2 linked regions of the Caenorhabditis elegans genome follow. The protein of the gene in region 1 purifies or fractionates together with the protein of each later gene. This does not show direct contact. Each region holds a gene or a part of one and is shown on either strand. Other genes may lie near its edges. The genes, in order: nhr-18 and R119.3.

Region 1 (3,922 bases):
TGAGATTTGTGGTCAAAAAACTTCTGGAAGACACTTTGGAGTGTTGAGTTGTAGGTCTTGTGCAGCTTTTTTCAGGTTATCAGATTTTCAGGATTTTTTCAAAACTCTGCCATTTCAGGAGATCAGCAACATGGAGCCGGAAAAAAGTACAATGCGTGAAAGGGACCTGTAAAATTTTTGAGGATGGAAAGTGAGGCTAGATTTTGGAAATTGAAAGAAAAAGTTGCTTTTTGCAGATTCAATTGCAAACAGTGTCGACTTAAAAAGTGCGTAGAAGTCGGCATGGACTCTAAAAGTAAGCTAGCAAGTTCCCAAACAGTAAAAAAATACACCAAAAAATTTCAGAATTCCAAACAAATCGGGACTTGATATCTTCCTGCTCAGTTCCTCAGTCCCTTTGCAATTTTCTAGGACGCCCCGAGTTCATTTTGTGCTGCGAGCCAGACAAAGCTTCAGTTTTCAAAACTACAATAGATGTTACGTATTTAGTAGATATGGCAAAGAATCTGCTCGAAAAGGTAGGCAAAAACGAGAAAACATGTGAAATTAAAGGTGAGTGTGTAGCGTCCGACATCTAGCGGTCTAGCGGTCGTTTCTGAAAAAAATGGGGGTGGGGCACCTGTGTCACACGTCGCCCGGGCATTTTTCTATATATTCAGGATCCATGTCAATGCCCTTTGTCTAACAGCCTTGAACAACTTTCTACTACACTTGAAAATATGCGAGGAATGAAGTTGAACAAAGAAACACAAATTATCAAGAAGCTTGGAAAGAACGAATCTCTCAAAACCTGGGAACAAGGGTTTCTCCGAGCGGTGGAGTGGTTCTCCAATTTTTCAGAATTTCGGGAACTGGATGAGAACTTAAAGGTTCTTAACTTTTAGCATATAAGGTTACTAACTTTTTTGTATTTTTTTTCAGATGGAAATTTTAAAAACTTGCTGGGTCTCATGGATCCGGTTGGATAAGCTATCGGAAACTGCTAACAAACGGGTGAACGCAACTCTCGACAACTCGCTTTTGATGGTTGGAAATGATTCTTGCATGCATATGAATGATTATGAAGTTGATTTATCATGGTGTACGAATTATTCGTTGGAGCAATTGGCCTTGTGAGTTCTGAGCGACATCTACCGGGTTCCAAAACACTAACCCGTTAAATGTCGGGCTATGCGTATCACTCACAAATCTTAAAATCGGATTTTCAGTTTTTTCCTCACCCCGGACGACGAGAAGAACTACCGTCAGTTGATACAAGATATGGTTGATCTCAACCCAAGTAGCACTGAAATCAGCTACATGCTCCTGCAGCTTTCTCTGGAGCACGCGGGAAAAAGATTGCAGGGAGATATACTGGAGGCTACTGAAAGTTTAGTTCAAGCCCAGGCAAATCAATTGCATGATTATTACGCGAAGAAATTGAAGTTGTCAAATTACTCGTCAAGATTGACACAATTGATGAAGATAACTAGGACTTTGGAGGCAGACATGAGACTTCGAATTGAAAAGAAGAAAGTTGCAGATGTTTTTAATATTTTCAAAATTCAGTTTTCCCATCCAGAAATGTTTGAAACGACTTAAGATCCTCTGCATAAAAATTGAAAGCTAACCGTTTTTTTGTTAATTTTTTACTTTATCAACGAAAGTGTACTCATATGTATAATATAACACTTTGAATATTTAATGTAATTATTTGAATTTCAGCGCAAAAAAAATTATTTTCTTTCGAAATATTATTCAGATGCCCGCACCGTTATTCCTCTCGGGATCCTGTGAAGTTTGCGGGGACAAAACTTCCGGAAGACACTTTGGAGTAATGAGTTGTCGGGCTTGTGCCGCATTTTTCAGGTTTGCAGCTTTTGTAAAATAATTATTTAAGAACAAAATTTACAGAAGAGCAGCAACATGGAACCTAGAAAAGAGGATATGCCCAAACGGAACCTGTCATACTAGCGTTAATGGAAAGTAAGGAAATTTTTTTTCAAGTTTTACAGCAAATTTTAAAAATTAATAATTTGCAGATTCAACTGCAAACAATGCCGACTAAAAAAGTGTTTAGATGTAGGCATGGATACTAGAAGTGAGTCAAAAGTTCAATGTTTAAAAATCACTATACGTTTGATTTCAGGATTCCAGACAGATCGAGACCTTATTTCGTGTTCTGCTATTTCTCAGTCTTTGGCCACATTTCTCGGTCGACCCGAGTTCATTTTGTGCTGCGAGCCAGACAGAGCATCAGTGTTGAAGACAACAATAGACGTTACTCGTTTAGTGAATATCGCAAGGGACATGTTGCAGAAGGTATGCAAAAATCAGAAAATAGCAGGTGGTGCAGAGGAGCTGGAATGGTTCAGACGGTAGTGGTCGCAGCTAGCAATCTTGAGGTCACGATTTCAAGCCCCCCGTATCCATGGTCAGACTTTCGGCGAGGCATGAAAAGTGTACACCGCGCAGTACACCTTGTGTACTGCAGCTGACGCTGCAGAGTCCGGCGCGGTATTATAATAGTTATGCGCATGGGAAAGGCTATGGCGTGGGGCGAGCGCCCTCGTGAAAGGCCTACTGTACCCAACTCCCGCTCTGCATATAATTTTTTTGAAAAGAATTCAAGGTAGCGTTTCAGCCAACAAACCATGTTTTGCCCTCAAACAGTCTTGAACAACTGGCCACAACGCTCGACAACATGCGATGTGTCGAATCGAACAAGGAAGTAAAATTTATCGAAAAATATGGAAAAGTAGAAACTTTGAAATCTTGGGAACAGGGATTTCTTCGAGTTGTGGAATGGTTTTCCAATTTTTCAGAATTCAGAGAATTGAATGAACGTTTGAAGGTGAGTTCTATAATAGAATTTTATTTTTACTGTCTAAAGTTAATTAAAAGAAAATTGTATTCAGTTGGAAATTGTAAAGTCATGTTGGTTCTCCTGGACACGGTTGGATAAGCTATCGGAAACGGCTAACAAGCAGATTAACAAAATGCTCGGTAAATCGCAGTTGATGGTCGGTAATGGTGCATGTATGAATATGAACAACTTCGAGATTGATTTATCTTGGTGCACGAATTATTCGTTGGAGCAGCTGAAATAGTGAGTGTTGCCTTGTTGTTGCGTTGAGTCCTAATAGATGTTTCCAGCTTTTTTCAAACACCGAATGGTAAGAAAAACTTCCAACAGTCGATACAGGATATGATCGATTTGAATCCCAGCAGCATTGAAGTCAGTTACATGCTCCTACATCTTTCTCTGGAGCACGCAGGAAAACGATTACATGGAGATGCACTGGATGCTACTGAAAATTTAGTGCAAGTTCAGGCAAACAACTTGCATAAATATTATGTGGAGAAATTGAAGTTGGCAAATTATTCGTCACGACTGACGCAGTTGATGAGAATCACAAGGACGTTGGAGGCAGATATAAGGATTCGAATTGAGAAGAAACAAATTGCCGACGTGTTTAATATTATGAAAATTGATTTTTCTCACCCAGAGATGTTTGAAGCGACATAAAAAGTTTACATAACCTCAAATTCTCAATGTTATGTATTTATGGTCGTTTATGTACCATTTTATATATCTGAATTGGATTTTTAGCCAATTACTGCCCTATATATATTCCAGATGCCCGCATCTTTATTCCTTTCGGGACCCTGCAAAATTTGCGGTCAGAACACTTCTGGCAAACATTTTGGTGTGCTGAGTTGTCGAGCATGTGCGGCATTTTTCAGGTTTTCTTGTTACTGTTTCAATTTTTCTGAAAAAAGTTTTAAATTCAGAAGAGCTGCACTTTGGAGCCCAAAAAAGGCCCATTGTCCCAGAGGAAATTGTGCAAGTTTTGAAAATAAAAAGTTAGTTTTTAAACCAACGCTAAACTAATTCAAAAACTAATTCCAGTCTGAATTGCAAGCAGTGTCGGCTCAAAAA
Region 2 (3,922 bases), on another chromosome or scaffold:
CCGGAAGAGGGCAGTTATAACAACAGAGGATTTGTAGCAAGAGGCAGAGGTTCGTGCTTGATTGAAATAGATCAAATATTGATATGTTTTTTTCAGGTGGAGGCACCGGTTTCGTCGATCGAGGAGGCCGCGGGCGATCCAATGGAGCTCCAAGAGAAAGCCGAGATAATAATCGGGATAACCGTGATAATAAGGAAGGAGCAGCACCACGCTCGACTCGAGGAGGATTTGAAAAACCGTATGTTGGACGAGGTGGAAGAGGTGGCGCCAGAGGTGGATATTCTCGAGCTGTTGCTCCATCATCAGCACTTGAGCCAGATGCGTTCACTGCTGATCTTGATGAGGTAAGAATTTTTTGAAGAAGGAAAATGACGAAACGTGTTTTTTTTTCAGAATCAGACTAAAGTGGATACCACAGTCACCGAAGTTCAACCACCAGTAGAGGAATCCGTCACCGCCACTGTTCCCACATCTTCTGCGCCGGCACCGATCTCATTTGCTGCAGTAGCAGCAGCTGCCCATCGCAAAGAAGCACTCCGAAAGCACCAGGCACAGAATCCTCAACCAGCAGCTCCGCCAAGGAGGAGTCTCTCCCCACAACCTCCACTTCCGTCAGTTGCACCAGTTAAAGAAGAGCCAGCAGCAGCGCCAGTATTTTTCGAGCCAGAAACTTCGCATCAGCCGGAGAAAGAAGATGGTTTCTTCCAAAAGTAAGTTGTTCTGTCCCTGTATTTAGATTATTAAAAATTTAATTTTCAGTGAATCATCAGTTTTGGCTGAGGAGCAGACGCCTAATGTGTCGACTCATCACGATGAAAATGTACAAAGCACCCCAGAACCAAATCAAGCATGGACCACTCAACTGAAGACGGATCTTGGAATAGGATTGAGTGAAGCACCAGGACTAGGATTATCTCCAATTCCAAGTGCAGCACCAGTCCAGATTATTCCTGATCCTGGAGTGGAATTTGTTGGCACAACTGCACCAACGAACATTCATGACTACTCATTTGGATTTGTTGAGGCTGCTCCAAGCCCACAGCTTCCTTCTACTGAATCCTCCGCTGCCTCGATCTCAAATGCCAGTGAAAATATATTTAACTCTTCTCGTATTATGCCGAAACAAGTTGAGGTGAGTTAAATTTGTTGCAAAGACGATTTATTCTAATTCTCGATTATTTTTCAGCCAGAAAGGACGTCAATTCCTAACGGCGATTACAACTTAAAATCGACTTCACCTCCATTGTCATATGGTCAATCTAACAGAGGATTGTCCTATGACACTTCGTCCGCTTCATATCAACCAACGGACAGGATGGCGCCGAACAAGTTCAACAATTCTGGACCACTTCCAACACAGCAATCTGCTCAGCAGCACCAGCCACAGCAGCAGCAGCAACAAGCCCCACAACAGCCAGTGCAGCAGCAGCAACAAACTCCACCAGCTCAATCACAACCGACTGGACATCCACAACAGCATCCACATATGATGTTCACTCAACAACTCCCATATGCACCATACATGAACAACTACATGAACATGTACAATCCAATGCCAGGAGTTCGAGATGAGCAATATACTGCTGCTCTTATGCAATACGGAATGGGAGTTGATCTTACAAGCTTGCTTCCAACTGCTCCTCTGTCACAGGCTGCTTCTGCGCAACAAGTGCAATCTGGTCAACAACGAGAGACTCATGGACTTATGGACTTCAATAAGTTCGGATCTCAAAGCTCTCGGGATCAGCAGCCACAGCAGGCGTCGAATGTTGGACCACCACCAGGGTTCCAGGCGACGAACTACATGCAGCAGCCAAACTTGTCGTCGTTGTTCATGCAGCAGTACTCACCTGCTCCACACCAGTTTACTCCATTCATGAACATGATGCCCAATGTTGGAAGCAGCGCTGGAGGTCGTCAACTCTACGGACAGGATGACGAGCGCAAGAGTTACGACAAGATGTCTGGATCGAAGCCGGCAGCTCAGCAGAATCAACATTCTCAATACCAACACAATGGTGGAAATCTTGGAAAATATGGCATGAATAAGCCGTACAACTGGAGTAACTAACCGGTTTTCGAAAGTTCTCAGTCAGCGACTTTGCTCCCCCTCCCTCTCCCCTCTAAATAATAAAATGATCTGTTTTATTTTCACATGTTCTTTATTTTCTACGGATTTCCAAATAAATGTACCTGATGTCTAGGTGTATCTATAAATATGCCTCCTCATCGGGCTTTCAGCGTAATGTCATGTGCACTTGTAATCGGGGCAACGTCCACACTGGGTAAAGCCGTCGTGAGAAGACTCGCGTTCACCGGCTACAAGGTCGCCGCCGCCGCAGACTGTCCGAATAGTGTGGGAAAGGTTGCAGAGGACAATATAAAGGTTTAGGCAGATTTTCAGAACTTGACAAAGAGAAATTCGGGAATAAATTCAGGTTGGAGGTGACGTCACAGCTTTCTCATTAGACGTGGCAAATGCCGAGCACAGGAAGGAGCTGATCACGAAAGTGGCTGAGAAGCTCGGCGGTCTGGACACTTTAATTATAGTTCCACCACAGAATGAGGTGCTCGGCGAGATTATTGAGACATCCGGCGAGGATTTTGATAAGGTTCGAGAGTGCTGAAATTTGAATTCCACGTGGAAAATTGACCTCGAAAAACCAATTTCAGCTTTTCGCCAACAATCTGACAACACCGTTCCGTCTTTCGCAAGCCGCTATGTCGACGCTCGCCAAATCTCAGTCAGTTTTTGGGTCTCGCCGCGAAAATTTCAGATATTATTTTTTGCTGGTAGAAATTCGAAAAATTCAAACTGTCTTGAAAGCCTATTTTACCGATAGAATCAAAATTATGTTTCTAGATTTTCGTGCCTGACTCATGCCTGCCTACCTAAACCACGAAAAAAGGGAAAAATAGGTAGATAGGCAAGTAGGCATGAAATCGTGCCTACCCTAGAGATCATGCAACTTGAAAAAATTGTAGTAAAACAAAAAAAGGATTTTCAAGAATGTTAATTTTTTGCTCACAAAAATGCCGAGAATAGGCGGTAGGTAGGTAGGCACGTAGGCATGAAGTCGGTGCCTACCCTAGAAATCACAAAATTTGGAAAAAAAATTCAGAAAACAAAAATAATAGTGTTTTCATAAATATGATTTTTTGCACGAGAAAAAATGCCGAAAATAGGAGGTAGGTAGGTAGGTACGGTAGGCATGGAGTCGTGCCTACCCAAAAAAATCGTAGAAAACAGGAGAAAAAGCTAATTTGATCTCTTTTTGCTCACAAAAAATGCCGAAAATAGGCGGTAGGTAGGTAGGCACAGTAGGTGGGAAGTCGTGCCTATCCGAAAAATCTTGAAATTTGGAAAAAATCGTAGAAAAACGAAAAGAAAAAAGCTAATTTGATTTTGTTTTGCACACAAAAAATGCCAAAAATAGGCGGTAGGCAGATAGGCGCGGTCTGCATTAAAAATCATTGAATTTTGAAAAAAAAAGCATTCCCATGAATTTTAATTTTTCACACAAAAAAATTTCAAAAAAACAGGCGGTAGGCAGGCATGTATTCGTGCCTACCTGCCTACCTAGAAATCATGGAATTCTAAAAAAATATCAAATGTTAGGCCGGTAGATAGGCACGTAGGCATGAAGTCGTGCCTACCCTAGAAATCATGAAATTCCCAAAAAACGGCAAAAAAATAGAACAACAAAAAAAAAATGAAAAATAGGCTAAAATAGGCCGGCAGGTAGGCACGTAGGCAGGCAAAATTTCCCGTCCAAAAAAAATCGATTTTTTCCAGAAACGGCAGTATCATCTACCTAACGTCATGTTTCGGCTTCACTCCATCAATCGATATGGGTCTCTACTCAGTTGCATCTAGCAGTGTCCTATCACTTACAAAATCCGTAGCTCAGAGTGCCGCGAA

The links.
Region 2: the proteins of nhr-18 (region 1) and R119.3 fractionate together in Caenorhabditis elegans (co-fractionation; one large-scale study listed by BioGRID). This does not show direct contact.

What each region holds. Positions count from the first base shown.
Region 1 is NC_003283.11:2,225,462-2,229,383, forward strand, and holds nhr-18 (Nuclear hormone receptor family member nhr-18), read left to right. Parts: upstream 1-1,741; coding exon 1,742-1,848; intron 1,849-1,893; coding exon 1,894-1,965; intron 1,966-2,021; coding exon 2,022-2,080; intron 2,081-2,128; coding exon 2,129-2,301; intron 2,302-2,623; coding exon 2,624-2,833; intron 2,834-2,897; coding exon 2,898-3,088; intron 3,089-3,135; coding exon 3,136-3,508; 3' UTR 3,509-3,516; downstream 3,517-3,922. Other genes in the region: Nuclear hormone receptor family member nhr-103, read left to right, coding at 1-75, 119-190, 237-295, 346-518, 660-869, 922-1,112, 1,209-1,581; nhr-126 (Nuclear Hormone Receptor family), read left to right, coding at 3,620-3,726, 3,775-3,846, 3,893-3,922. UniProt on the Caenorhabditis elegans protein: Orphan nuclear receptor.
Region 2 is NC_003279.8:377,393-381,314, reverse strand, and holds the start of R119.3 (DeHydrogenases, Short chain), read left to right. Parts: upstream 1-2,241; 5' UTR 2,242-2,245; coding exon 2,246-2,386; intron 2,387-2,438; coding exon 2,439-2,612; intron 2,613-2,673; coding exon 2,674-2,744; intron 2,745-3,796; coding exon 3,797-3,922. Other genes in the region: Prion-like (glutamine/asparagine-rich) domain bearing protein pqn-59, read left to right, coding at 1-49, 97-344, 394-710, 760-1,132, 1,187-2,071.